Linked DNA regions of Alligator mississippiensis. The protein of the gene in region 3 interacts with the protein of the main gene of each other region in a biochemical or structural test. Links are inferred from orthologs where the notes say so. Each region holds a gene or a part of one and is shown on either strand. Other genes may lie near its edges. The genes, in order: CLDN1, TANC1 and PATJ.

What was found.
Region 1: the proteins of PATJ (region 3) and CLDN1 form a complex in vitro, tested with the Homo sapiens proteins (2 studies listed by BioGRID and IntAct, with this or other methods). The link is inferred for Alligator mississippiensis from reciprocal best matches to the Homo sapiens genes PATJ and CLDN1.
Region 2: the proteins of PATJ (region 3) and TANC1 interact in a test that uses a peptide from one of them, tested with the Homo sapiens proteins (2 studies listed by IntAct, with this or other methods). The link is inferred for Alligator mississippiensis from reciprocal best matches to the Homo sapiens genes PATJ and TANC1.

Annotation. Positions count from the first base shown.
Region 1 is NC_081830.1:87,403,953-87,413,819, forward strand, and holds the start of CLDN1 (claudin-1), read right to left. Parts: upstream 4,593-9,867; 5' UTR 4,366-4,592; coding exon 4,143-4,365; intron 1-4,142.
Region 2 is NC_081827.1:221,883,063-221,893,743, forward strand, and holds the start of TANC1 (protein TANC1), read right to left. Parts: upstream 4,461-10,681; 5' UTR 4,237-4,460; intron 1-4,236. UniProt on the Homo sapiens protein: May be a scaffold component in the postsynaptic density.
Region 3 is NC_081828.1:14,932,972-14,942,933, forward strand, and holds the start of PATJ (inaD-like protein), read left to right. Parts: upstream 1-5,805; 5' UTR 5,806-5,878; intron 5,879-5,903; exon of another isoform or gene 5,904-6,047; intron 6,048-9,962. Other genes in the region: TM2D1 (TM2 domain-containing protein 1), read right to left, coding at 441-510, 668-799.

The DNA.
Region 1 (9,867 bases), on a different chromosome or scaffold from region 3:
AAGGCCCACCTGCGTCCAAGTGACAGAGCCCCGGTCCATGATGCTGACATCCTCTTCCCTTCAGCAAGTGGGAACTACCCACGGGCCACCAACTGCACATGCACGGTGGGAAATGCAGCCTAAATGGCTCCATTTGCTCCACTCCAAGTTTTCCTGGGGGGAGGCTACCTACGCTCCCTCCCGAAACCGCGCTCTCCAGGCTCTCGTTGCATTGCACCCGGGCTGGCAGCCCTGAGCTCCCTTCCTTGCAGAGCCGCAGGGTTTGGCTGCACGGAGCCAGGCCATGAGCGGGCCAGCGACGGAGAGGGGAAGGCTGCCGGACCCCCAGCTGGTCCTGGAGCCAGCCGGCCATCCCCACCCGCATTCCTGTCCTGGGCTGGACACCGAGCGGTCAGCAACGCCCTGCCTGTGGAGACTTCCCCAGGAGCAGACAGACCCAGCTGCGGTTGGGTTAATTCCTGCAATGCCGAGGCTGGAAAGCCCAGCAGCTTTCAATCACCATTAAAGGGTCCCAACACCCATGAACCGCACGGCTCATGCTTGATCTGAGACCTAGATAAATGCTTTCCACGGCAGACATACTGTCCCATAGCAGCCCCCTTTCTAATACCAAACATTTCCCCCAAACCCAATGCTATTCTGCACCCGTGGACTTGCAAATTAAGTGCATGCTATTTTTCAAGGCAGCATGGTGAAAAGACTAGGGCTCTCTCCCAGGTGATACCCTGGCTACCTTTTTACACCATCCAAACATCGTGCAAACATAAACCGACCCCCTCGGTGCCCACGCAGGCACAGGGCTGAATGCACGCCCACCTCGCACACACAGCTTGCACGCCGGAGAGCAGCAGCCATGCCCTGCTCTCCTCTGCCAGGCTTCTCCTGGCACCTCACAGGGCAGGTTGGTCCCCAGAGGCTGCTTTTAGGGGTCACAGGTTTGCTTGCACCCATCCCCGGGTTGCGGGTCGACAGGTGAAATGCAGCCTTGTTGTTTGGCTGAATTCAACCGCGCCCTGAATGACAGGCCCCGGCTTGCCGCCAGCGTGGGCACGCTCCCACGGGGTAGCGATGGAGCCCTGGCATAGCTCCCACGGTGCCCAGAGCCGTCAGCCAAGCCAGCCTCGCCCGGGAGACAGCAGAGACAGCAGGGCTGCTAGGTGTGAATGCTGCCTGGAGAGGGATGGGTTTTTCCCCAGGCCCCCCGCTCCTGGGAGAGCCTGGTGCTGCACAGCGGTGACCCCCACATGCTGCTAGTGATGCCCCAAAAGCCCTGGCGAGGGGCTGCACATGGCACTGGGTCTCACCCCAACTCAGGTGCCTGGCGATCATGAGAAATTCAGGGAAGCTGCAAGCATTGCAGCTGAGGCGGGTGGCTGGGCTCAGGGTGCGGCAGACGCTCTCTGGCTTTGCAAGTTTCTCCCTGCCAGGGCAACACCCGGGAAAAGGCCCTGGGGATGCTTGCCATGCTCCCTTCCTGTCATCCCAGGGGGATCACAGCCAGCTCTTCGGGAGCAGAGGAACCTGACATGCCAGCGCACCAGGGTTATGAATGACTGCTATACGGTCATTCATAACGCAGGTCCAGGACAGACACTGACCTCAGGAGGGAGTGACGTGCTGACCACAATGTCCCGCAGGGGACCCGGGGTCCACCCCGAGCACAAGGGAAAGCCCCAGCGCACTTTAGGCACCGTATCATGTGCAGGTCAAGGACGCTATGATCCCCTCTCACTGGAAGACGGCGGGGGATTATCGGACTTGAATGCCCGTGCACCCAGCAGCCCTGATCTTCACTAGGGTTTTGCCATGCGAGCGCATCAGGCACCTCTTCCACCCCCCTACTTGTGCATGTTCAATCACACTGCTCCGTGAACGCCGGCAGGGTCAGATGAGGTGGGGAGAAGACCCCAGGGTAACAGGCTGGGTTTGGAAAGGACTGATCTGCAGTGCCATGTGAGACCCAAGACTAGCCCTGAGCATGGTACCAGCAGCCGGTAGCCACTGCTTTGCTATCAGTGCCAGCGAGAGCAGCATCTAACCGAGCCAACAAGCATGGGAGGACACCTGGGCTGAGTTTTGGCTCTGCTCTGATGCAGCCGGGCTGCATCTCCAGTGGTTTCTGGTGGTCCATGTGCGTGCCCAGAGGACTGCACAGATCCCTCCTCCTCCATAAGGAGCCGAGGACGTTTCACTCCAACCGGCCAGCGTGGGTAGGCACCACCCTTGTCGGCGAAGTGTATAAACAGATCCACTCCCCGGCAAATAATTAAAGGGACCGACTGGCTCCTAAGTGGGTGGTGGGTGAGGCTGCTGCATTTCTCCAGCCTTTCCAGGCAAAGGCCTGGCTTATCCTCAGACATGCAGAAATGTATGTCACCAGGGCTGGACTCGAGCGGGGCGGGGGCAGCGTGGATGGATGCCTCCGGGATGACAGAGGCTTGCATTTGGATGCATGGCTGGGGAAGCAGAGCCGGCTTCTTGCCGGGAGCTGGGAAGAAGCTATGAGAGCAAGAGCCCTTCTCTGCTGGTCCAAGCCACAGCCAGCTGCATGCAGGTGCAGCTTTTCTGGCCACGGCCCCCGAGTGCCCGCCCGAGCGAAACGACAGCGGGAATTTTCCCAGAGCCAAAAGCCTGAAGCTAGGAAAGAGAAATTCAAGCTGGCTCCCACCTGCAGAATCAGGCCCTACCGCTCAGGCCCCGGAGGAGGGACGACTGAGGACAAGGTTGCAGACATGAGGGATTGCATCCTCGCGGATGAAGCAAGGCTCTCGGCTGGAACATGCCCGCCCTCGCTGCCGGCGCGGGCACACGCACCCTTTACTCCGGCAGCTTTTGCAACTGGTGCTAGGTGGATGCAACTGGCCAGGACTGGAGGGATGTGATCGGCGGAGCAAACCCAGCAGCATTAGTGCTTTGGAGATACCCCCGATGGACCTGGCTCCCACGGGGTTGTCTCCGCTGATGAGGCTGTGCCACCCACCAGGATTTTGGGACAGTTCCTGTCCCCTGGTTGCTATCAAGAAGAGCCTGGCCAGGTGGAGCTGGCTATGACCTGGAGAAAACCTGGCTTTGATTTCTCCAGCATTTCACATTCCTACCTCCCTCGCCCAAGCCCATCGCTGGCTGGAGCTGCCTGCCCCGGTCCTCCCCGTTCATGCTACACCAGTGCCTGGTTGAACCCCCGACTCTCTGCCCAAGGCCCAGCCACAAGCCCAGCTCCTCCAGGCCCCACAATTCACCAGAAACCAGCACTGGAGATGGCACAGCATGGGGCTCTTCCCAAGCACCCTCCTTGGGGAAGCAAACCCCACCTAAGGCGGTTGCAAACCCCACCTATTGCTTTGCAATAAGTGAAGACTGCCCAGCCTGCCCCCTTGACAGCCTAGCACATTTGTTAAGGGGAAAACAATCCTTTTGTCCTTCTGGGAGGTGCCCTATCTCTTGGGGGCAGGGGCAGATATTACAGCAAGGACTCAGGCAGGCAGCCGAAGCAAAAGTATATATAAAAATATATAATAAAACATATATAAAAGTAATACTATATAAAAAGCATATATCAAAATCTCTCCAGAAAAGAAGAAACCCCAGTGATCGATTCCCTTGTCTCACCCCGCTACACCCCCAGCAGACTCCTTGATGGGAGGAAGGTGCCCGTAGCAAGCGCTTGTGCGATCAGTGAGAAAACAGACATACACCTCGGCCTGGCTTCTGCATCCCTACTTGTCAAGCCCCGTTCAAAGGCTTTGGTGGCATTAAATATGGCCAAATGCCTCCCTTGGGAATGGTTACCATGAGATGCACTGGCTCAGGCTGGCCCACAACCAGAGCTTTCCTGCCGGCTGCAGCCGGAGCCGGATGGGACCCTGGAAGTCCAGCAAACAAGGCTTGCAAGCAGGGGTGCATGGGGTGCCGGGAAGAGTCAGATCCAGAGAGACACAAGTATGGGCAGGGCACGATCTCACGGACCCACCAGCTGAACCAGAACAGCAGCACCCTAGAGCTGTCCTTCTGGGATCTGCTAACAACATCAGGGTGCCGGACTCGATCTGTAAGGTCCCGTCCAGCCCCTAACAACTATGAAAGTATTAAACTTCAGGGCGGGGACAGCAGGGAGAGCCCCCAAACCCGCTCCACGCACTTACTCTCCAGTTTCAGCAGGGAGTCGTATATCTTGCACTGCATCTGGCCTGTGCTCTGGGTGACACAAGACATCCACAGCCCCTCGTAGATGGCTTGGGCTGTCACAAGGTTGTCCCCGGCGTAGGAGGACATCTTCCACTGGGGCATAGCCGTGCTGACGATGATGCCGATCCAGCCTACAAAGGCCAGGATGAAGCCCAGCAGCTGCAGACCTCCGCTGGCCATCTCAAAAGGGCTGTGAAGAGGATGCCACAGTCCCTAGGTACCAGTCCACGCTCCCAGGACCTGGGCAGCTGGTAGGATTTGCCTTCTTCCTCCCCCTTGGCAGCACTCAGGCGGAGATGTGAGTGCAAAGACTCTTCCCTGCCTCTCTTATCCTCCAGGAGCAAGGCAGGCGTCGGTGCTGGCTCCTCGGGCTAGAAACCACCTGAATGAAGTCAGAGCATCTCTGGGTTGCAATTTAAAGCCGAGTCCTCGGGGCTCCCCCTGGCGGTTTCACCCGAGCTCTCGGCTCCCGGGAAGGGGCCGTGACAGCTCAGACCCAGCACAGCTTTCCCCTCCTGCCCCGCCAACCTGCGTCCAGATGTGCATGGCTTCTGGCAGGGCGTGGGGAGCCAGGGGGTTTCTTTCCAGCATCCCGTGCAATCAGCTCCAGTTGGAAGACAGAGCTCACAAGCTAGCGTGTGTGTGGTGTTGGTGATACCCATGTGTCACACTGCAACCGGTTTGCCGGGGACTTGTGCTGTACAGGCTGCAGCAAGAGCCGTGACTGGGAGGGTGACTAATGTTCAAAGCTACCGAGTTGCATCCCAGCGATGCCAGGTGCTTTCTCTCCGAGGGTCTTGCATGCTTGATAAATGCAGGCCGGCGAGTGCTCCTGCGCCGCCGTGGGCCAGGCATCTCGGCCCCTGGAAATGCATGGATTCTGCTTTGTGCTGCGCACCAAGGTCCCTGAAGGCCCCTCGCCCTGCCCCATCTCAGAGGGCCAAGGTGGCAGGCAGCGTCTCCTGCACTCGGCTCCCGGCTCGACCTCCCGAGGCGGCCGTAGGTGACTCCGTTTCCCCGCGCCTCGGCTCCTGCAGCTGGGAAACAAGGAGTGGGTGCTTGCCCTGGCTCCCGGCGGGACGGTTAATGCTACGGGACTGCAAAGTGCTTTGGGAACTGGCCTAGGAGAGGCAGGACGGGAACAACCGGTGTTTGCTCAAGGCTGCAGAAAGGCAGGGGAGCTGGGGTGGTAACTCAGGCGCACGTGGGTGGGGGGGGCCTGTTTCATGCCCAAATTGCAGGGAAGAAATCACTCGCCCAAAGCACCCAGCATTTGCTTTTTTCCTGCCTGGAGCAAACCCCAGGCAGGCTTCCTGTGGGGTCTTTCTTTTTTCTACGTGTTTTAAAAGGAGCCAAACGTGGGTGTATTTGTTCCTAAACCATCACTTCCATAGTAGCCCGGCTCAGAAAGGCTGAAGCAAAGCACTCGGGCAAAACACTCATCCGAAATCAGGCACCAAATTCAGGCTGGAGTTGCCAGTAATGGTGTCTGACTGACCCCAAGCTGCATTTATCCACCGGCCAACTGACCCTTGTGCCCAGCTCTAGGTTTCGTGTCCTTGCTTTGTATCAGCTGCTGCTTTTTGGAAGGAAAAGCAGCTGTTCCTAAAATACCCCTTCTGCCTTCGTGGAGAGGGAGGCTCCCTGCTTTCCCTGCTAGCACGGCTGGGGTCTGGGAGCTGGGCTGTTCTTCCCCTGGCTTGCTGCTCCTAAGGCTCAAACTGCCTTGTCTTGGGGGGATTTTGTTCGAGTGAATCCCAAATCTTTTTTTTTTCCTAAAGGAGAAACCTGCTTGTTGTGGCTGGTTGATGGAAATGGGCAGAGAGCGGATCTGGAGGGATTCAGTGGCCTGATAATATTATGCATCCCCTGTCTGTGCCCAGCACGGCTCCCCCAGACTGGGGGCATCAGGGGGACCCTTCCCCACGCCACGGCTGGAGGGAAGGGAGGAACAGGCCCCTGCACAACCCGAGAGGCCAGGACTGTGTGCAAGACACCTGGAAATCATTTCAGAGATGTCAGCAAACAAAGCCTTCCAGAGAGGCAAGCTGGCACCTGCCACATTTCAGCCTAAAATCAGTTGTTCTCAACCCTCCCGACCCCCACGTTCGGCTCGAAGCCCCACCTTGAAAAATGCCAGCTCTGAGCTTTCACTCGGGTTGACCCTGGGAAAATACTAGAGCAATGCATCGGTTGCAAGGAACCCGGCCAGGCAGAGCGGTTTAAACACTGTGGGTGGAAATTTCTCTTGCAAATCCTAAAAGGATCTCACAGCCCTGCAGAAGGCTGCAGAAACCGGGTTGAGACTCACCGATTTCAATAAACCTGCTTCCAAGAATGGGTGTCTTTAAATTGTCAGGATTTTGGAAAGTAGCATCTTCCACCACTGGGTCTCTGATGCCCCCGGGGAGAAGTGGCTTTGACTGAGCATCAGGGCATGGGGAGAGGTTAAGTGACTTGCAAAAGGGTCCCCGAGTGGGTGAGTAGCAGAGACCCAGGCTCTCTTGGCTCCTTAGGATGCTGGCCTGAGCGATCTCTCATAGGGCTGAGAGCTAGTTTGGGTATAGTCTGATTTGCAGGTAGCGATGGGCTGAGCTTTCATATCCAAGCTGATCAAGCTGCAGGTGAGGAGGGGATCCCCTGAAGACAAGAGGGAATGCATGAAATGAATTGGATGGTGTTGCCTTCACCTGTCATCAGCTCAAGCCCGGAGCAGCTCAGATGCTCTCTCCCACCACCCCTCACCTCGGCATAAACAAGCGTGCGCTGGCGAAGGCCGTGTTTGGCACGGGAGCGCGGCGGGGTTGTTTTGACAGCCGGGTGGCTGCGTTTTGATGACTTGCAGGTTCTCACCTGGGAGACGGCTGCAACGAGCCAACCGGTGATTACGCAGCCAACTTTGCACGGCTCCGGGGGGATTTGCAGTGGGAAAACAACTGCGGGGAAACCGCAGCGGGCACGGGGGGGTGGGCGCTGCCAGCACCTGCAGCAGGGAGCCCAGAACGGCAGTGCAGCTGGGATCGGCCCTGTGAAAGCAAGACAGCTCCCAGCACGGCCTGGCGGGAAGGTGTTTCTCTTTCAAGGGAGCAGGGAAAGGGGTTGCACCCCATACTAGGGCCTGCTTTGGGATGCATGGGGCAGCAGGGAACAGGGTCCCAGGTAGATGCATGGTTGTGCCGATGCAGCGGTCAGTGCCCTCGCTGGGCCGGGCTGAGGTTGCTGCTACTTGGTGTGATGGGCAGCATCCTTCCTAGTCTGCTCCAAGGCAGGAATTAAAGGGGCCAAGTCTTGATCTCAAAGGCTGCCGGATCACAGAGGGGTTTGGGAGGGTTGCTGCATGCCCTGGACCCCCTGGAGACAGCAGGCTGCACCTTGCTGCCCACAGCCCCGCTGCACCAGCTGGCTCCAGGCAAGCCCCAAGGGCTGCAACGGGTCGGCCACGAGCCCAGAGTCGCTCAGGCTTTGGGATGCAGTGGGGGAAGCTGAGAGGTTTTGCGTGGGAAGATCTTGGACGTCCCTGGCAGCCTCTAGGAATAGAGGTCCAGGCTGTCTACCGCACACGCCCTGCCCAGCTCACCCCCGGAGGGAGCATCCTTTACAGGGCAGGGAGCATGCGTGGTTGGGGTGGTCTGAGACGCGGAGCGCAGTGCAATGGATGTGTTCCCCTCCAGCTTCCAGCCTGGGCTGCTGGCTCAACGGAGCCTGCAGTTTGACATCTGAGTTTATTGCTATTGAAATCTTTCCCCTCCTTTCCTCTGCAATGGCTGGGTCAGTACTGCTGAGTGGTGACCAGCTTTGCATGCACAGGACAAGGCAGTGCAGACACGTGTGTCCAAGACCCACAGGGACAAGCCCTGGAGTGCTGCTGGGAGCCAAGGCTGCTCCCCAGAAAGGGAAACTCAGCCCTACAGCTGTCCAGAGAGCCCAGGTTCCTGACGGGTTCGTGCAGGGACCACGTCACCTCCCTGGGTACGTCGATAGTTGAAGCCAAGGCCATGCAGGTTCAAAGGGCTCCCACACCAATCACTCTTTACTTTGGACAGCACAAGCAATACTCAGGCAAAGCAGTAGGTCATCTGCCTCAGCTTTGGTGCTCTTCAGGACCCAGACATTGGCCCGGCAAGGACGCTAAGCCTTGTCTCTGGGGTCTGGGAGAGGAGTTTGACCCAAATCAGTTCAATGTGAGACTCCATTCCACCAGGTTTATCTTAAACCAGTTTCAGCCATTTTGAAACTGGTTTATATGCTGAATTTCTGTTCTGCTACAGGTTTAAACCAGTTTCTGAGGACTTAAAGTGGTTTATGTGCAACTTCTGTCCCTAGCCTTGGAGCTCTCCCCTCCGGACTTGGCGCAGACGCTGTCCTCTTTTTTCTCTCTCCAGCCCACTTCATTTGGCCCCATAGTCAAAGACCCCTCTCCCTCTCAAAGCTTGGCCTTTCACTCCTCTTCCCTGCCCCACAGTCTTATGTCTAGCATCCTCCTTTCCATTTTTAATTGCCTGCACCAACACTGAGTATGTTTGTTCAGCTTCTGGCTTAAATCCCGTCCCATCAAACCAGCTCTTTGCAGCGAGGTTGAACGCAGCTGGTTTTATCTGGGATGCTTTTGCTCCTTAGGTCTTCTCCAGCAAGGTGTTGATAGTCTTTCATGAGCAACCCCTTGGAGGAGCCTCTCCCTCCTCCCCTTGCACAGGGAAGAGGAACGCGGCCGCGGACTGGAATTCGTGTTTTTGTAGGCCCAGCCCCTGCATTTTCATAAACACATTACTCAGAGAAAGTATGCGAAAGCCTGCTAGTTTCCCCCCCGCACCGTGTGTCACAATCTCAGTTAAGGCTGTTTGGAGCAGTTGTGTAACGCGATGATCCTATAATTCCTCTGCGCACAGTTGTGGCCAGATGAGCAACTATATTTAGATAACACCTTCATCGTCCGCAGAGCGCTGCTCGCTGCGGGCAGCTCATCTCTACCTGTTTACTTTCCCGATAAACACCAGATATTTCTCCTGCCGGGGCTTGCGCGAGGGCAACCGGCCGGATTCTTCGCCTCCCGGCTCATTCCTCAAGAGACGTCGTTTGCTTGCAGAATTCAGGCATACTTTGACGATAAGACCCAGAGGAGGTTTGTGGCCATTGAAGCTTGACCTCTTACAAAACACAGGGCATCTCTGGAGCCATGCAAACAGCCTCTAGAGAAAAAAAAATAACCTCCTAATTTTGATTTAACAGTTGCCAGGGACGGAGAAGCCCCCGTAGCTCTGCAGAAGCTTTTCCAATGGCAAATGACCTTCTCTGTTAACCAAAATGGCACCTTTTCTCTCATCTAGATTTATCAAGCTGTTGAAGCGGGTTGGACCTGCATCTATCAGACAGGAGAGCCTGCTACTGCCACCTTTGTGCCCCCGCTCCGTGCTTTTGCAGGTTGTGAGCAAGCCATTCATTAACCTTTTTTTGTGAAGCTAAATGGACCGAGCAGCAGGAGCGTTTCACTTGAAGGCACGGCTCTCCTGCAGTCTCTCCTTCCCAGAGCCATTCTCCATTTGCTCACCAACATCCTGGAGTATTCGACCCCCAAAATCAGTGTTTTGCAACCTCTGTCTTCCTCAAACTCAAGGCACCCTGCTCAGAAAATGCCAGCTCTTTGCTTTCACTTTTTTGTCTACAGGGAAAAGAACAGAGCAATTA
Region 2 (10,681 bases), on a different chromosome or scaffold from region 3:
GGAATTCTCTGATGAAGAGCTGACCTGTCTTCTGTAACTAATTTAGGGAAGCACCATAATACTTTTGAGGGAAGGCAGTCCTATTCCTCACACCTAGGCATTTCTTACTGGTTACCTTAGCTGGCTAACTGTTCAGATTGCTAGCTTCTATGAAAACCATTCTTCCAGAATAACTAATTCAGGGTTGAGGCACTGGGTGTCAGGTATGGGATGGCAGAGGGAGCTTTAGAGAGTTAAGTGTTGCAAAATTTACAACTGTAATTCCCATGTCCCTTTGTTGGGAACAAGGTGTAGACTATTCCTAAACATTGACAAGGAATAGAACATAAAATAAATTCAAAATTAGTTAGAGTGCTTTATCAATCAGAAACTGGATATCTTCTATATCTACTCCTAAAGATCAAAATGCCAAACTTCCTGATTTCCCAATGCTAGTGTCAACTCATTTGTGATATACTTCCAGAACTCCCAAAAGCATTAAGGATTTCTTTTATTAAGATTTAACAAAATCTAACCTTCTGTTAAGTAGTATACAGGATCGATCCGGTAAGCCACATCAGGCCTACTGCAGATTTTCTTTTCAGGGTAAGTGAGGGAAAAAAGGAAGTTAACATTATGCCATCATCTCACACAATTCAATAATATATGCATAAATGCATTCAGATTACAGAGTTACTGTTTAAGATGTGAGTGGCAACAATGTCAATCCAATTAGTAAGAACTTTTAAAACCCAAGATAAAAATCATATAAAACTTTATTCATTACCTATTCAGTAGAGAAGACTAAATAAACTACAAGGCAAACTTTGTGGCTGGGGACAGAAATTATATACAAACTGGTATATGTTATCGGAAACCGGTTCAAATCTAACACAACAGAAGTGCAGTGAACTTAAACCACATTCAAAATGGCCCAAACCTGTTCAAGATAAACCTGGATGGATGTAGTATCAGACTTAACTGATTTAGGTTAAATTGTTTTAATGATCTTCTGTCCCAGATCCCCTCCAGATTCAAGTCAACTCTCAGCCCCCAGCTTCGCAGAATGCTTTGCACCTCTCCTGCAAACCCCACCTTGCAGGGTGGGTAGCCTAGCCTTGGCCCAAGCTATCTGCTCCAGCTGAGTAGGGAGGCATGCTCTAGCCCCCTGTCCCACCAGCTTCAGACCTAGACTGCTGTAGGCATCTGGCTCCATTTCCAGAATCAAAAAATGAATGTCTGATCACTTGCTTATCAGTTCAATCTATGCAGTTTAGACTAACCTGTGAAAACTGAATTGATTAATCCTCAGGCTTTTTGACTGTCTCTATTTAGCCTGTAGGAACAGTCTTTTATGAAGCCATGAGAAAGAAAATAAAGTAGCAAGTTATGAAACCTACTAAAGCAAGTTATGTCCTACTAAAAATAAGAGATAAAAGAGATCAAAGGAAAAAAGTGGTATTTTACTGAAGTGCAGAAATAGATGGCAGGAGATTTGGGTTCTATTTCAGCTTCTCCCACAGACTTTCCATTTAACCCTGAAGAAATCACTTACATAGGATGAAACTGTGGTGCATAGGGTAAAATAGGAATATAAAAAAAAAGATACTGTAAGGGCTAATGTTGATGAGCATAAACTATTTTGAGATCCTTTGAACAGAATGCACTACAGAAGTATAAAATCTACAGAATCAAGTAAAAGGGGCTGAAGTCTCTTGACTCATAAGATCTCCCTGGTTTATGATGGTAAAAGGGTTTTTAACCAGCAGAGTGATAGTAAATATACAAATAAAAAGGCTAATCTTAATTATCCAGTTATTAGCTGACCTAGTAGATTCCATGGGATATTAGGGAAATCATCCCTCTACCGACATGCCTCCTTTAGGAAAAGATATGGGCAAGATCAGAAAGTTAAGAATTGTACTATACTCAAATGATTTTAAAATTCCCTTTCTGAAACCAACAACAACAAAAAAATTAAATGGTTTCATAGCGAATCATAGACACACTACTTAAAATATAATACTGCATTGGTAGACATTTAAGTATAATAAATGACTTTGCCATCTTAAGACAAATAGAAGGTTGGACTAGATGACCTCTTGAGGTCCCTTCCAGCCCTACTTTTCTATGATTCTAAGGCCACCTCTACACATTAGAGAGGGCCTTAGAAACACATAATTAACCAGCTATAAGAGCAAAGTAGCCCCTACCTGTGCCAGGCACAGCCTGCCCCACCCCGCCCTGGTGCAGACATGCCCGGGCATGTCCCACAGCTGCAAAGTAGCCATAAAAAGCTCCAAAAAACTATGAAGTTAGACCTCAGTATGTACTAACTCTTATAAGTGGTTGCTATCTAGCTTTAATGGCACATGTAGTTAGTTGCCAGCTCCCAGCAGCAGGAGTGCACCATGCTCAGCCAGGCCTGTGGGTCTCACAACTCGGTAGACTCTCAGCCTCAAAAGCTGCCCATTCTGGGTCCCAGCGGCACAGGGACCCAGGATCCCCTAGCTGTGGATGCCAGGTACATGGACCCAGCCAGGTCCTTGCAGCTGGAGGATGTGGCTGATCCAGGGGTATGCAAAATCCTCTTGGGCTGGGGGATTGCAGCTTCTCCTAGGCTCATGGGTGCATGAAACCACATGTAGCATGGCAGGAGGCATCCTTATGTGGATTGCATATTTTTTACCTGCATGTATAGAAGGGGCCTCAGATAAGGGAGCTCAAAGTTGCCCAAAAAAATCTGTCACAGCAGAACACAATGGTTTTAGAGCAGGGATTCTCAACCAGAGGCCTGCAGGGAGCTGTGCAATATTAAGGTTAGGTGTGCAAACACCTACACATGGTTCACAAGATAAACCCAGAGTTTTCAAATAGGAATTCATAGTGTCCAAAATATTCTGACCTGTTGTGGTCTGAGTTCTTTGTTTTATTATTTTTTTGTAGTCAAGAAATGAGTGTAAGCTAAGAGCTGGCATTTTCTTGAGGGATACCTTGAGTCTAAAGAGGTTGAAGACAGCATTAATTCTGATGACAGTATGAAGCTTCATTAGAGAAATATAGCCCAGTTCACTCAACACTGCCCAGTTGTCTTTAAAATTATACCCTCAGATCACAAAGTTGCTATGGCATCAATGACAAAACTGTGGTTAGAAACAAAAAAATGTCTCTTTCCTACAGGCTGTTATGGGAAGCTGAGCAAGTTTGGCTATGAACCAAATATGTTTTGGCTCTAGAGTGAGCATAATTTATCATCATTTGGACATTCCAGTGGCTCGCTAACCCAAGAAAGCAGAACCACTGGCACTTCACAGCATCCAGCAAAATTAACCTCCATATATATTGCCATAGCTGCATGTTTACATTACAGACAGAAATCTCATTCAGGTATATTCGCTTGCTTTCACAGCATAATTTAATCCTCCGACACTATTTTGCCATCGTGTCTTGTCAAATCACAACAATTAGGAAGTTTCTCAATCCATTCAGTTTTGGCAACCACATTGCAGAAATTAAGACAGGGAGGAAGTTCTGTCGGATGTGAGATACCAGATTCCCTTGCTTCTTCCCAAGGCTTTGTAATGTTGTAACCAGCTCGACACGCTTAAGGCCAACAGCCACCGAGGCTGCGGGCTAACAAAGGCGTCTTGGCAAAGGATCCGCCACAGGCTGGGTCACCTCCTGGCAGGACTCGGCCTGGAGCAGCAAGGCACAGGTAGCCGCTACCGCCCAGCGCCATGGCAAACCCTGTTGCTCCAGCAAGTCTGCTGCAAAGAGACTGCTCAGTTTTCCCCAAGCAAAGCGGCGGTACCTCGGCTTTGCCAACCGCCACTCTGGGCTGGTGCAGCAGGTGACAAAAGTGCCACCGCTTTGGCAGGTGCATGACAGGGGAAGCAGGAGAAGTCATCCAAGCCGGACAGGATCCAGCCCTCGGGCGCCCCACACCCCGCGTGGGGCTGGCCCGCCCGCAGGTGAGAGGAAGGCGCGGGACCGGCCGGCCCCGCGTGGAGGGACCTCCCCGCCGGGTCCCCGCGCCGCTCGCCGAGCCTGCCGCTGAACGTGGTGACAAGCAACACCCGCAGCCCCTCGCGCCTCCCCGGGGCCGCGACCTCCGCCCGCCCTGCCCCCACCTGTGCCAGGCACAGCCCAGCCCGCCCCGCCGCGGTGCAGACGCGCCCGGGCACGTCCCGCAGCCGCAAACTTTCGGCCGCACTTTCCCCGCACGCGGCGCCGGGCCGGGCCGGGCCGGGCACTCACCTCCGCGCCGGCGTGTCCCGGACAGGCTCGTCCGCAGCCAGCCGGGCGCGGCGGCGGGATGAGCTCACTGGAAGCGGGCGGCGGCGGCAATCCCCGCCCCCCGCCTGCGGCCACCCCCTGCCCACGGCCCGCCCGCGCGGGGAGGCAGCGCCGGGCCGGGTCACGCCCGCAGCTCCCCCCGCGCCGAGCTCCTCCCGCCTGCAGCGCGGCGCCCCATCTGCGAGCGATTAGCGGCGGAAAGCGCCGGGTCTCTGCCCCTGCCCCTGCCCCTCCCCCGCGCCGCGCCCGGCCCCGGCAGCGACGAGCCTGTCACGGGGAGGCCCCGGGGAGCGGCTGGGACCGCCCGGCGCGGGGGCACCGCCGCATCCTCATTTGTGTCTTTCCTGCCGCTCGTCACATGGCCCCGCTGCTCTCCGCCTTGCGTGGTGAAGCCCGCCTGCCAGTTGTCTGCTCCTAACTTTTATTTTCCTTCCCCCACTGCGAGCTTTTGGAAGCTCCTCTGGGCTCTTTTTTTATAGCCGCTGACGTGGGGATTGTTCACATGACCTCGTACGTACGTGGTTGTGGGCTCCCTGTTTTGAAGCGCCTCCAGGCAGGGAGATGGCTTAGGTGACAAGAGTTCACAAAACGAATCCGAAGGAGAAAGACTTTTTAAAATGTCTCTGTTAAACACCAGGCAAGCCATTAGCGTTGCCTGAAATACCAGTATTAATAAACAAGCCTTAAAGTCCACCTCAGATGCCCTCCACCTCCCTCCAGAGAGGCCTTCTCTGCTCTTTGTTCGATTTGAAACGCTACTGTATTTGTATCGCCTCCCATAACTTTTCTATAGATATTTTTTATCCTGTTAGCTGCTATCTGTTGTTTGGCTTGTTTGAATATGAGTGGGAAGGTGCAAGATTGAAGTCAAAAGGATATGAGTTTGACCTATCACCGACTCCTTAGATGTGGCATCATAGCAACACACGTAGCCTAATGTTTTCTGTATAGTACCCGGGATGGACAATCTTTGGGGAGTTAATCAGCATTGGCAACGCATAGGAGGTGCACGCAGGTGCACCCCTAGCAAAAAGGTGCTGCTCACGTTGCCAGCTGTGCCTGAGGGTGGTCCCCATTTGCCACCACCCCGCCCCTGTTGCTGCCAACACTGCTGGCAGCATCTGCAGGCGGTCTCTGATCGCTGCTGCTGATGCTGATGCTGCCAACAGTGTCTGCGGGTGGTCGCCAACCACCAGTCAGCATTCACCCTCCCACCCCGCGGCCACCTGCAAGAGCTCACCACTTTCCGTTGCCATGCTCCTGCCGCCGCCAGCGCTGCCACCGCCTGTGGGAGATCACTGTCCCCCCCCAGCCCCAGTGGCATGCAGTGTTCATGTTAATCAGTAGGGGTGCACAAAGCTTCAGTCCATGATTCAATTCAGAGAAGATTCAGCCAATTCAGAGGCTGAATCACCAAATCTGAATCGAATTGGGAGAAGAAAAAGATCTCTGAACCAATTTGGAGGCTCCGAATAGAATCGGAAAAGATTAGGAGATTAGGGAGGGGGAGTTGCGGGGGAAAGACTGACATCTGTAACTGGCCAGTGACTGTATCATAGTATCATAGTGTTTAGGGTCGGAAGGGACCTAAACAGATCATCAGGTCCAACCCCCTGCCCCGGGCAGGAACGTGTGCTGGGGTCATATCACCCCAGCCAAATATCTGTCCAGCCTCCTCTTGGAAGACCCCCAAGGTAGGAGAGAGTACCACCTCACTTGGGAGCCCGTTCCAGAGCCTGGCAGCCCTAACCGTAAAATGATGTCTCCTGATGCCCAGCCTGAACCTTCTCTTTAACAATCTGTGGCTGTTATTCCTAGTAACCCCGGGTGGTGCCCAAGGGAACAGAGCCTCCCCCAATTCCCACTGGTCCCCTCTGATGAGTTTGTAAACAGTCACCAAATCCCCTCTCAGCCTTCTCTTGTGCAGGCTGAATAGGTTCAGGCGCTTTAGCCTCTCTTTGTAGGGCCTGCCCCGCTGCCCCTTGATCATGTGAGTGGCCCTCCTTTGGACCCTCTCAAGGTTAGCCACATCCCTCTTGAAGTGTGGCGCCCAGAACCGGACATAGTAATCCAACTGTGGCCTGACCAGTGCCGCATAGAGGGGAAGGATCACCTCCCTGGACCTGCTTGTGATGCATATGTAGATGCTAACAAGGTGCGGTTAGCCTTACTAACCGCTTCCTCGCATTGGTGGCTCATGTCCATCCTGGAGTCAATAATGACTCCAGGATCCCCTTCTGCCACTGTGTTGACAAGAAGTGTTCCCCAGCCTATAGGTGTGTTGCTGGTTCCTTCTACCTAGGTGCAGCACCTTGCACTTGTCCGTGTTGAATTCCATCCTATTCTCATCTGCCCACCTCTGTAATTTGTCTAGATCTAATTGGATTCTGTCCCTCCCCTCCAGCATGCCCACCTTGCCCCACAACTTAGTGTTGTCAGTGAATTTGGACAGTGTGCATTCCACATCCAGATTGCTGATAAAGATGTTGAACAGTACAGGCTGCAGGACCGAGCCCTGAGGGACTCCACTGCCCACTTCCCTCCAGGTCGAAAACGGCTCATCCACCACCACTCTCTGGGTGCGACCATCTAGCCAATTTCCCACTCATCTGACTGTGTAGGCATCAATGCCGCAGTCACCCAGTTTATTTTAAGAGAATGTGGTGGGAAACTGTGTCAAAGGCCTTCTTAAAGTCCAGAAAGATGACATCCACCCTGACACCCTCATCCAGGGACTTTGTGACCTGATCATAAAAAGAAACCAGGTTAGTCAGGCAGGACCTGCCCTCAATGAACCCATGTTGGTTGCCTCTGAGCATTACAGAGCATTACAGCTCTGAGCTGGGCCCTTGCAGATGTGCTCCTTGATAATTTTCTCACAGGTCTTCCCAAGGACTGAGGCAAGACTGACTGGCCTATAATTGCTGGGGCCCTCCTTTCTCCCCTTCTTGTAAATGGAGCCCACATTGGCCCTCTTCCAATCCTCTGGCACCTGGCCAGTGCCCCACGAGTGCTCATAGAGCTGTGCCAGAGGCCCCGCTATGACCCCCGCCAATGCCCTCAGCACCCTTGGGTGAAGAGCATCTAGACCTACTGTAATCTTTCCCTGAAGCCCCTTCCAATCACAGTACTCTGGGGGAGGGACATAAAAATAGTATTAATCCTCTGTCTGCAGGCTTCCTATGCCTTTTGTGGGCTGTTTCTGCCTGAGCAACAGTGTCTGAAAGGTACTGGATTGGCTTGGCTTCCTACCTAGTCAATCTCCTGCTACATTCTGTTCTTGGAAAGGATTGGATATAGCTTACTAACTAGAATCCCTCTACTTATCCCTATTCAATCCATTTCTTTCAATTTATATTTGTTCTTAGTTTATTTTTCCCCAACACTTTTTAAAAAGAAAGCTGTGTTTTCCCTAGCAGTGTGATCCATCACTGTGCAGGGAAGCACATACATTACACACAGTCACACACATACATCATAGAAAAAGTAGTCAGATATTACTACAACACAGAAGAAGTCAGACAGTCATAAAAGGAGAGATTATATATAGTTATTATTAGTTATAGTTACATATTATAGTTACATACAGACTAAAGACAACACAGAAGTCAGATAGAGATTCAGATTAACACAGCACAGAAGTGAGAGAGTCATAGAAGAAGAAAAGAAATTATTTTAGTTACACACACAACAGTAAACACAACACAGAAGAAGTCAGACACAGTCATACATCAGAAAAGAAGAAGATGAAATATACTGTATTATTAGTTAGTTACACAGACAGACACATTTTCCAGCACAGGAAAGATTAATATGAAGTGTTATTAATCCTGAAAGGGAATTTACAAACCACTTTTCACAGCCAGGCCTATGAACTTCACTTCATCAGCCTCCTAGTACAGTAACTCATGGACTCAATATAAACATTGGATTTATGACACATTACAACATGCCAGACATCTGACTCCCCAGGTACCTCCCCATTTTTACCTCTCCATTTTTACCTACATCCCCCTACCCCAGCCTGTCTCTCTCACCCCCTGACACCTCCATGTCCACTTTCACTGACTGGCCTTCTGGCCTGCCAGCCTCTGGCTTCTTTACTATTCCTTCCATCCAGGAACAGCACACACACACAGAAACTGCAGGTGCTTCCTCAGCCTGACAATGGGTTTTTCAACCCAAAAGCTTGCTAAGATATATTTCTCTAACTATTCAGTTGGTCTACTAAAAGATACCAGATTGACCCAAAGGACCTTGTCTGCCAGTGCCATGTCCTTAGACCAACACCCTTAGCACCTGACCGGGAGGATGCAGGGGCCTGGGCACATCTAAGCCCCAGGGATGGGGCTGGCAGGGAGAGTTCTCTGGCAGCTGCAGGAGAAGAACCTCCTGAAGAAAAGGAAAGAAAGTCTGTCACAGTTTAGCTGCCTGAGATGCTAGTGCTACTGTGCTGCAGTACACTGCTTATTACCTGTTGTTATTTAAACTGGTGTACCAGACTGAGGCTGTAGGGGAGGAGGAGGCCTCATTGGGGCACTACTGTATTGTGTAGAGGCCCCAGCCCCAGTGAGGGTGTGTCTTAACACGTGCACAGTCACCCATGTCATGAGTTTTGCTTGTCAGCAGCTTAAGGTGCAGTTTCCCAGAAACCCCTGCACCTATCTCCTTGAAACCTGGCAAGCTCCATGGCCTCAGCAGGGGCTAGCAAGCGTGCGGTTTTCACCCCGCTGCACCTTAACACAAATACATGACATGAGTTTAGCTTTCAGCAGTTTGAGGTGTAGTTTCCCCAAAACCTCTGTACCTATCTCCTTGAACCTTGGCAGACTTCATGCCCTCAAAAGGAGCTATCATCCCTGAAATTTTTATCCTAATCAGCCAAAAAATGACAAAGTTATAGGTATTTCAGTGCTTCCTCATTATAGTCTATGACTGAATCTCCAAATCTCTCCGAACTGGCGCTAAATCTTCCAAAGCCGATTTGGCCGAATTGATTCAGGACAGTGATCTGAACCTCCAAATCAAATCACTGTCCTCCGAATGGGTTGAATCCAAATCAAATAATTCCCTATTCAGATAGGCCTATTAATCAGGGTTATGTAGTTAAGGAAGTTGTACATATAAACCTTGCTTCAGAAAATTTGAAAGTGATTAGTAAACAAAACAGGATACTGAAAAAAATTAAAAGGGTATCTCTTGATTTAGCAGTTGGAACATCTTGCTTAAGAACTGAATTCCCTAGACTCTGCCACAGAATCCTTTTGTTGCATGGGGCAAGCCACAAATTTTTCACAGGTGGCCCATTAACTGTGTGATCCTCCTTTTAGGGTGCCCAGCTTGAAACATCTGGTCTCAGGAATGCTGAACACTTAAAAATTTAACTGAGGTAGTCTAGATGGGAGCTCTGTTCTAAATACATAATGTCGTAAATACTACATACTTAAAAAAGAATCAGTCTGTCTGCTTTACAAATTAGGCAGCCCAGGTTTTGGTTTTTTTTTTTTAATTTTTTACAATTTTGGCTTTAATCTGTGCGCCTTGCTTCCCTATGCATTGAGATTCTAAGTAACCATTTAGAAATAATACTGGCATAAACTCTGTGCATAAAATTCATAGTTGACATAGATTGGTAGAACGGCAAATTATGCTACGGAAAAGACAATTGTCTAGATATACATCTAGGAACAAAAAAATCCAAACCAATAATAGAGAAGACAATATTCTGGACCACAGCAGCTCTGAAAAGGACTCTGGGGTCATAGTGAATAAGCAACTCAGCTTGAGCAGTGCTGTGGCAAAAAGAGCTACTGTGATCTTTGGATCCATGAACAAAAGTATAAAAGCTGGAATATGATTTATTCTCTGTATATGTGATTGGTTAAATTAATTCTGGAGGATTGCATCCAGTTATGGTGTCCACGCATGAAAAGGAATGTTGAAAAACTGGACAGGGTAAAACATAGAGCCACAACAAATTATTCAAGGACTCAAGAAAAAGGCCTACAGTGAGAGACCTAAAACATTCCATCTGTTTAGCTTCTCAAAAAGAGAGAGAGGGCAAGAGAGAAGTAACTTGATTACAGGGTACAAGTACCTTAATAGACAAAAATACTGGGTACTGAAGAACTCTTTAATCTTAGTAGAGAAAGACTTAACAGGGCATGGAAACACAAGACAGGCAAAAATAGGAATAAAAGATTATTAAACACTGGAACGAACTACCAATGGAAGTGATGGATCCTCCATTTCTTGATGCTGTGCATTTAAGATTGGATGAATTGCTGGAAAATGTGCTTAAGTTAAAAACCAATGCAAAGCAGGAATTCAATACAGGAATTAGTGGGTGATATTTAACTGCCATATTAAACACCAGAGTGGAGATACCCATGTTGCATCATTGTCC
Region 3 (9,962 bases):
GCCCTCTCTCCCCACCCCCGGCCCCAGACGTGCGGGGCAGTGGTGCGTGCACGTGGGGCAGGGGAGGCCCCAGCCCTGCCAGCCTGCAAGGGGCAACCCACAATTTCCCTATTTTTTTTCTCCTGGAAAGAAAAATCCATTTTTGAAGTCTGACAAAAGCATATTTGCATCTTCTTTCATATGCTCCGGCGACGCACATCAGGGTCACGACCCACGGGCGCGGCGGTGCAGCGAAGCGCAGTGCTGGGGCCCTCCAGAGGTGCCTTCCACCCCCCCTCCAGGATGCTCTATCAAAGCAGATGGGGAGGGAGAGAGCTCGGCCTGACGCGGGGACCCCGTCCGCCTGTGAAAGCCAGGCGCGCTCTCGGGGTCTCCGCGCCGGTGACACCAGGGCAGGTGCACGACTGCGCGGACGCCCTTGAACCGCTTGCCAGCCTTACCGTAAGCCGTGTGGTTCGTGCAGTTCGTGGGCTCCTGCGTGCCGCTGTCTATTTTGGGATCTTCGCAGATATATGTGCGAGGCATTAAGGAAAGCCGTTGGGTTTTTTTTGTTTGGCATCAGAGCCCACCACCCCGGCGGCGCCCCCCTTCCCATCCCCTGCCCCTGCCCCTGCCCCGAGGAAGGCCGGGGCTGATGCCCGCGGGACCAGGCCTGGCCCGGCCCAGGATATTGCCCCATCCTCAGCTCGTCGCACTTGGGCGGCGGCGGCTCGGCGGCCCGCGCCGTGACACAGGCCAGCCACAGCAGGCCGAGGAGCCGGCCCGCCGCCCCCCGCCACCGCCGCTGCCGGGCGGCCATGATGGAAACGCGCCGGTCAGCTGATGCGAAGCTTGGTCAGGAGCGAGGCTTTGCCCCTAGCCAAGATGGCCGCCACGCCACTATGGCCAATGGCGCTGAAGGCGAGCCGGGCGTTTTCTCAAGATGGCTGCCCCCCCTGCACCTAGAAGCCGAGCTGCCCTTAGTAAAGATGGGTGCCCTTCTACTACTGGCAGAGCGGCTGCCAGGTGTCGATGGGAATCCTGGTCCCGCCTGCTCGTCCCGCTGCATTGTGGGAGACGGGGAGGGAGGGGCTGGAGGGATGGAGTAGAGGCTGAGGAAGGAGCAGCGAGCTCTTTTCTTCTCCTCTTAGGATAAAGAGAGGGAAAATGTGGGAGTGTTTTGGGGGTTTTTAAGTATATTTCCTTCTGAAATGTGCTTATATGCGCATTACATGCAGAAGATTCACCTGCACTGGGAAAGTGGATCCCCTGAAGTGTGGAAAAGACAAGGCAGAAAGAAAGAATGACAAGAAAAAGAAAAACCTAATGCTAGTTATGGAGAAATGTAATTTTTTTTAAAGGACTTGAGTAGATCGGTACCAGTTTTGCAAATTCCTCTAAACCAGTGTTTGCCAACCTTTCCCAGCCGGAGGCAAGCTTGCATTAATAATAAAAATGTCCGTGGCACACCTGTTAAGGCATTCCCCATCCTCATACCTACTGTAGCTCATTGCCATGGCAAAAACCTGTGGCACACCTGCTCATTTCTGATGGCCCAGCGGTTGCAAAACACTGCTCTAAACCAAACCTGGTTATCTTGTGGGACGAGGGGTTCATCTGAATCAAAATCCTTATTTTAACCAGACACAGGCTGTACATTTTAATGCAAGGAGAGGTCAGGCATTACCCACGAGGTGTGACCTTGTGCCTGCAGCCAAGTGTCATTCACAAAGGTGTGACATTCTTTTCAGAACATCAAAGAAATCCTTAGTAGTCTAATTTCTGATCACCACAGATGACAGACGAATGCATTAACACCAGCCTGGTTTTTCCCATATGAGGAACTTTTAAAAATGTGAAGCACACAAACAAATGAGCGAGAGCCTGTCGACATGACAACACACTATTGGCAGAACAGTGTCAGGTGCGGGTGTAAAAGAATCACCCCTTTCACTGACATAGCCCTGCTAGTCCAGACACAGCTCTGCTAGCGGCTTTTGCTGTTCAGGGGAGGAGGTGCGACTTGCAGCAGTTAAGGAACTTCTACTAGCGCGGCGGTTCCCAAACTCGGCAGATTGTGCGCCACCAGTTTGAAACAATACAACCTTAAGTATCACCAGCAAATTTTTCAGATCAACCTTAAGTACCACCAGAAAACTTTTGTCATATAAAGTAGTGATATTAAATCTAATGTGTCCACTGACAGATTATCTACATACCACTGGTAGTACGTGTACCACAGACTGGGAACCACTAGTGTATGCTGTGTTTAAAACAGGGGACCTGTGTTGCCCACCCAAGATACAGCATCGGCAGCAACCCTGTCATAGAGACTAGGCCTCCAAGATGCTTTCTATAGTGTAATTATGTCCAGTCCAGGATGGCCAAAATGCTTTACAGGTTTAACACTTACTAAACTGATTTAAGCTTTTTTTAACTACTTGACTGCTAGTGATATTAAATTTCTGAAACTACATGTTCCAATTTCCAGCAGGATCAAATCCCAGAGGTTTAGCATTAGGTCATCCTGAGGATTCCTAGTAGCTGCCTGTGACTATATTTCCCTAGTCCTGAAGTTTTATTAAAGTTTATTTGTACTGGTTTGGTTTATTACAATTCTGTTTTCTTACTCATCTGTGCAAAAATACCCACAGTAGATAAGCCCTATATTAACTGTGACTTTGTGATCCTGAATAGAAGTAACTAGAACTGTGATTCTCAACCAAGGTACCATGACATCAGGAGTAGGTCAGGGGGGGAGCATCAAAATCTGGTGGAGCAACTCTTCAGGAATGCACCTCAAGGGCAGACGAGGACCAATGGGCATTATTAGCTAATAGAGGATAAATTAAGGCAGGACATAAGAAAAACCTTTTTCTTTGTAAGGGTCACCACAATCTGGAGCACACTTCCAGCAGAGGTGGTGCAGTCACCATCCTTGGAGGTGTTCAAGAGGAGACTGGACAAGTGCCTTGTTGAGCTCATCTGAGCCCAGTCACTTCCTGCCCACAGCAGGGGACCAGACTTGATGATCTTACAGGTCCCTTCCAGTCCTCCGATTCTATAATTCTATGGCACCCTGGGGTGCCTTGAGATCCTTTCAAGGACGCTGTGGGTTGCCACACAATGTTAGCATTGTTAGGTGTGCAAGTATAATTCACAAGATAAAACTAGAATTTTCACATAGGAATCAATAGTGTTCAAAATATTTTGACCTGTTGTCTTTCTGTTCTTGCAACACAAGAATTGTTCTGGTGTTTTTCTGCAGTTAAAAAAAGTGAAAATTAAGATCTGGCATTTTCCAAGGGATGTCTCAAGTCTATGAAGGGGTACCTCGACTCCAAAAAGGTTGGGAACCACTGTGCTAGAAAAGTGTAGTATATGTGACCAACTAGTAGCACTGTATGACCTCCCTTGTCCTCGTTCAGGTTTATTTAAATTACATCGAGCAAAACTCCAGCTGTTTAAGAAAGTAAATCAGGAATTCTGCTTTACTCAGAGGCTCTGAAAGCTGTTTGGGTGCATAGCCATTTTTCTTTATCCTTTAAGATGTACGTACCAACTAAAATCCCACATCACCCATATCTGACAAGCTAATAATAAAGACATGGGCCTGTGAGAAATGGATGGCTGAAGGGATTGGCACTATGATGTGAAATATTATTCATCCCTGTCATTCTACCCAGCTTGGTAATGTCCCCCCAAATACTGCTATCTAATGGCTGTTTGGAAATTCTTGTGAAATAAACTGGAGGTCTACTGCCTAATGGAGAAAGTGTACAAGTAAAATTGACAATCCTGTTGGCAGTTGTAAAGGAAAAGCCAAAGGGAGAATACACCTCATAATGAACCTCATATTCCACGGGTAAGACCGAGGCGGATTAGAAAGAAAAGTAACAAACTCGGTTGTGCTTCTGCCCACACTGCATCTTGGCTGGATAAACAACAGACCTCAGTATTCACCTCTGTTTAGCCGACTGGCAGTTTTCATAAGCACTACATTAATTCCCAAGCTCAGGCATGGGAGTGGGAAATTAGGCACTTGGAACCTGAACCAAGTATCATAAATTGGAAGAGGAGGATATGACATATTTTTTATGAGCATTCAGTACACTTTCCAAAGGTTGAACAAATAAAACAGAAATGTGAGAAAAACAGTTGGAAAAAAAAGCGTTGATTCATATTTCTGATGCAGGCTGCTGTTCTAAAGTCCTCTCTCTCTGCTTGAGAGGATCACATGAGATGCACTACACAATGAACTGGGAAAGCAGAAGCAGCTGACATAAAACAGGCAGTTTGCTTTCAGGGTATTGACTTGGTATCTGCAACTTAAGAATACAACAAAACAGGCTAACATCTACTTTTCAGAAGTATGGGGAACTGCAGCTCTTGCTGACTTCAACTGGAGTTGGACATGCTCGGTCCTTCTGAAAACTGGTCACTAAAAAGAAAATACAGAAACATCAAGACTTTTTGGGTATATAATTTTTCTTCTCAGCTGCCCAGAGAAAGATTATGAAAGCAGAAACTCCCCCACTTCAATAGGGATCGTCTTGATAATTTCTGAACCATAAATAACATATATAGCAGATTTGGGAATCTTGCATTTGGAACAGAATGGAAGTTACCATTGACACTCAGTGCATAGTATTTTGTATGCCACGGATATGAATACCTGGATACAAGTGTTTGTCGGCTATAGATTGAATTAGATTTCAGCATTTCTCAGTTTAAACAGAGTATCAATACTGTCAATACTCCAACAGAAGCCCAGTGTGTTTGTGGGGGCACTGCTCATCAACGTGTTTAACAGTCCCCTCCCTGTAGCTGTAGTGTCAGGGCTTGCACATTTAAGCCAGGAGAAGACCAGATTTATCCATGCGGAGTTTGTCAAGTTCCAAGCAGCTGTGTGCAGCTCAGTCGCCAACTCTCATGATTTTTTGGTGTTGTTCTTAAAGTTTATGCCAGGGGTTCCCAATGTTTATGTGCACAAGGGCACATTTGAATTTAAAAGAAAAAGCAGGGGCCCCAACATGAACATTAAAGTTTAGAATTTAGAATCCAGGATATGTGCATGCGCATGGCTCCGTTCGGGGAGGGTGTGCTAAGAGCCACGCCGTCACAGTGTCACTCAGACTGACGCAGTCTCATTTTAGTGGCTGTTGCATACAGCCTGTGAAAATTTTTTTGAAGTGTTGCTGTTCTGAGTTCAGTCGGCAGTGACAGCATTTTGTGTCGGAATAATGCTTTTTACTAATCATGAAAATGTGCATGGGCACCTGAATAAACCTCGCGGGGTGCCATGGTGCCCGTGGGCACCCCATTGGGATCCGCTGGTCTACGCTTTGGGAATATGAAAAAAATAGCTCTTTCTTTGATATCTATATGTGTGTGTATGTGTACATATATATGTGTGTGCATGCATGTATACATACATGTGTATACATATGTGTGCATACATATACATACATATACATATATATATGACCCATATGGAAGCCATATAGGACCCATATATAGCTTATGATCCTTGCCGGCCACTGGTTTGTTACAGCCTGAAGATCTGTGATCACCAATTTCCGACACTTCCTTAAAAAAACCCAACAAATCATGTCGTTTTATTGCCGGTTAAAGAGTAAACCGGGCGTCCGGAGTCTCGGGGCTGCCGTCAAGTTGCGGCTCCGAAGTTGTGCGCGACGCAGAGGCTGGGCACGGGCACGGGCACGGGCCCGGGGAAGGGAAGGGAGGGAGGGAGGACAGGACGAGCGGAGCCGAGCCGCGCAGCTCAGTCGCCCCTCCATCCCGCGCGCTCACAGCTGCGGCTTCGAGCCGAGCCCGCGGGCTCCGAGCGCAGCCCCGTCCCGTCTCGTCCCGCGCCCGTGCGGCTACGGCGCTGCAGGTGGGGCGCGGCCCGGCGGCTGCTGCGGCTGCACTTCCGCCCAGGTGCGGCGAGCGGGGCAGCGCCGGGGCCGGGCTGGGCCGGGCCGGGCAGCCACTTCCTGCGGGCTGGGTTTCACCGAAACCACCTCCCAGGCGCCCAGCTCCGGGGCTCGGATCGGCGCCGCCAGGTACCGGGCCCGCAGGGGCAGGGCGGGCTGCAGCGCCTCGGGACGCGGCCACGGGGAGGGGCTGCTTGTTGCAGGCGGAGAAAGTTAGTTTGCGGCTGGGAAGAGCGAGGCAGAAACACCCCCCGCCCGCGCTGCCCTCGCCCTTCCCTGCCCCGGCCCTCCGCTGCTCCCGGGGGGCCTACCGCCCGCACCTGCAGCCACGTCCCTGGGCCGCCCCGGTGCTGCTGTCCCGGGAGCAAGGGGACGGGCTGAGCCTGCAGGGAAGAGGGGAGCGAGAAGGGGCTTGTGTGTGTGTGTGTGTGTGTGTGTGTGTGCAGGGGCTTTGTTTGGTTTGTGTGTTGTCTTCTGTTGTGGCGTGCCAGGCTGGGGACGCTTCAGTCTGGAGAAGAAAAGACCCAGATAATCATGTCAAGGGCCTACCTCAGCCCCCGCGCAGGGGAGGACAAGAAATATAGGCAGTCCTCTTGACTTAAGACAGGACCGGTTCTTGAAAAACACCTCTCAAGTCGAAACGTTGTAACTCAGAACTGATTTTCCCATCGGAAACAATGTTATAAATAGAGGATTGGTTTCTGAGCCCTATACCCTATTTTCACCAAAAATAACCCAGACTTTTGTACTCAATTATAGAGGAGTAATATAACGATATTAATGTTTTGTAAATAGCAATCATATTGATTTGGAAGGACTTCTTTGAGGTGACTTGGCTGGACTTTTTGAAGGGCTCTTGGCTGGCGTCTTCGCAGGAGTCTTGGCTGCAGGTTTTTGGAGTCTTGTCTGCTTTCTTCAAGGAAGTGTCCAAGGAAGTTTGGACAGACGCTCTCCAGGGAGATGGGCAACGCAGCAAACATGTTCGCTGGCGTGGTGGCGCATTGGATCAAGTGTTGAAAAAGTCAACACTGACGTCAAAGTCGAAGCAGGGTGTCAATTTATAAAAGTCGAAAGTGCCGTTCTTTGCAACTCAAAACGTCGAGGACTGCCTGTGATGGGCATAAGCTGATTGAGGATTGCTTCGGGCTTCACATAGGAAAAACTTTTTTACAAGTTAAGTGCTGAGGGTTTGCAACAGGCTTCCCCCAGAGTTGGTACAGTCACCCACCCTGGCAATCTTTGAAAAGTGTCTTGACACCCATCTTGCTGGGGTCATTTGATCCCAGTCTTTCCTGCCCAAGTGCAGGGGGACTGGAACCAATGATCTGTAAGGTCCCTTCCAGAAACTGTCGCTCATTGGTGACACATAGTGCACACAGGTGCACCTGAGGTCAGTCATGCAGCCCCTGGAAGCACCAGCCACGAAACTGGAAGTGCACCCCGTCAGCAATTGGCCTCCCCCCCCCACTCAGGAGGCACCAGTCACCCATGATATCGCTGACCTTATCTCCCCACCTGGGGTTTATCTCAGCTTGCTACATCAAGGAAAAATGCCTGTCTAGTAGGTTTTTATACTGACGTAATCTCAGTTTAACACCCACCCGCCACCTCCCAAACAAAACCAAACCCAGGCCATGTACCCTTTTTGCAGTGAAAACCTAGCCACAGACTTGGGATAGGAACTATTTTTGTGTTATAGAGTATTAAGTATCCCATCCTGTTGCTCCTAAATAATGACCCCAATTAACATCTTCTTTTTAAGACCACAGCCTTAAGTTCCTGAGTCACTGTGGGCTGTCATGGGCCGTGTAAAATAATTCACAATCCTCTCCAACTTCCAGGGGAGGTGCAAGAAGGGACAAGGGTATCTTGTGTTTATATAGATATAGCAACTTTCTTCTGAAATATTGCAAAGCAGGTCAGAAGATTGCATGTGATGGCCTGATCTACACTAGTTTTATAGCTGGTTAGATATGTTGCATGTGAGAAGGTCCCACATCCCCTTCTTTTGTATGGCTGATGTAGACCTATACTTTTACATTTAGGTGGTTGAGTCAGACAGTTGCGTCAGGAACATCAGGGTGTATTGCTGCAATACCTTTTTCATATTTATGCATCTGGCATTGAGTCATTATGTGTTCCATGGTCTGTTCTGGGTGACCACGTTGCACACCGAAGAGTTTTTAAGTTTCCATTTGTGCATCGTCTCCCATGGTTTGTGCAGATACAGATTAGAGTTGCCCATGAGTGTCACGGGAGATCAAAGCCAGGGACCTTCTGCATTGGATCTGTCACAAGATGTTTATTTGAGACCTCCTGTGAATCCCATTCGATTTTCCAAGCTTCGTCAGGTTCAAGTTATGCCCCCTTAGCCTGTACAGGTATCCTGACAGGAGATGAATGTCCACCAGTTTAGCTAATGTCATTTGGGGGCAGTGGTGTAGTTAATTTGGCAGACCCCCCCTCCCCCCACACATGCACACACTTTTGCTGCATATGTCACATCTCCAGGAAGAGGCTCTTTGAACACAGCTATAGCATTGTCATAGCAACAGGGGCTCTGTAATTTAGGAATTAAAAAAAAAAGTGGTGATGCTTCCACACTGCCCAAAGCCCTAGCGTAGCTGCAGATAAACCAGCATAAAAGAACATTTGTCAAGCTAGCTTATTTTGATCTCCCACCTGGTATGAATTAGATCTGCAAAAGTAGTTTTGTCAATTAAATTATGAAGATTTAGGGATTACCAGAAATACCGGTAAACCTGTACTACTGTAGACCTAGCATCTCTGTCTAGGTGGTGTCTAACAGGTCCCCCCAGCTGGAACTAGAGAGTGTCGTACTTCACTATTCTGTAAGCTAAGTGCCTTCCATGCCTTGGGGATTTCCTGCCATCTTCCCGTGCTTGCTGGTGTTTAGTGCAATATTGACTGGTTACATAGTGCTGTCTTGCCTTGTTTCCAGCTGCTAAATTTAATTAAAAGATGCCAAAAAATAATCAACTCCCTTGCTAATATCCCATTAAGCAGTTGTTGTTGTCTAAAAGATGATGACTGATTGCACGTGGGAGAGGCAGTATCTATGAGGTAAAAGGTGGAAAGATTTGAGAAGCCCCGAACTGACCGCTTTTTGGCTTAAAGAGCAGATACTCCTATAGTATGTGGAATACAAGACCTTTGCATGCCTGCAGATAACAGTTGTAGCCAGGTTTTTTGGGTCATGTGCAGAGGGCCCCTATATGCTATTACATAACCTTCCTTCCATTTGATTAAGTGCCCCCCTCCCCTCCTTGCTACAGCACTGCCTGTGGACCTTAGTTTCTTTTTCCTCCATGCCCAGCTTCACACGGACTTTGTGCTGGTTGTTATATATGCCGTGCCCTAAGTGTGTGACTGAATCGATTGCCTTGGTCCAGGAAGCATATAGATCTTCAGTGCAGCACATGCAGTTTCTTTTGACCAGCCCCTGGCCCATTAGATTCCTTTTGCTTTCTAGTTCTTGTCACTGCCCTACAATGATGCAAAAACCACTTATCTTATAATCGTTTAGGTCCAGGTGCAAACTAAGGGGGAGCTTGGGGGTTGACCCCCCCCATAAGATGAATGCCCCCCCAGTAAGATTTGAAAATCATAACCTGGGGGAGGGGGTCTCCGATTAGGTTGCGCCTTTACTTAGGTGGACTCGTTAATCAATGCACTGGTTTCATTTTTTTTTTTTTTTTTGCAGACCCCGCCACAAGAGTCGGTGTAATTTGAACCCTGTATAGGTCAACATTTTTTAAAGAGATGTAGGAATAGGAAGGGTTGTCTTATCCCTGGCTTCTGTGTAAGGGTGTGTGGTACACATATGCAGACCATTACAGACTGCAGCATTCCCTAGAGTAATATGCAGCAGTTAACACTAAACCTGCTGTCTGGTGCTTGCTGAAAGGGATATTTTTGTCAAAGGTACTGGTGCAGATCACTATGCTCAGGAAGTGTCTGTGCAGAATAGCCCAGGCCTTTTTAATGATCTCATCTAAAAGTTGTGCAGAGGGTAAACAGTAT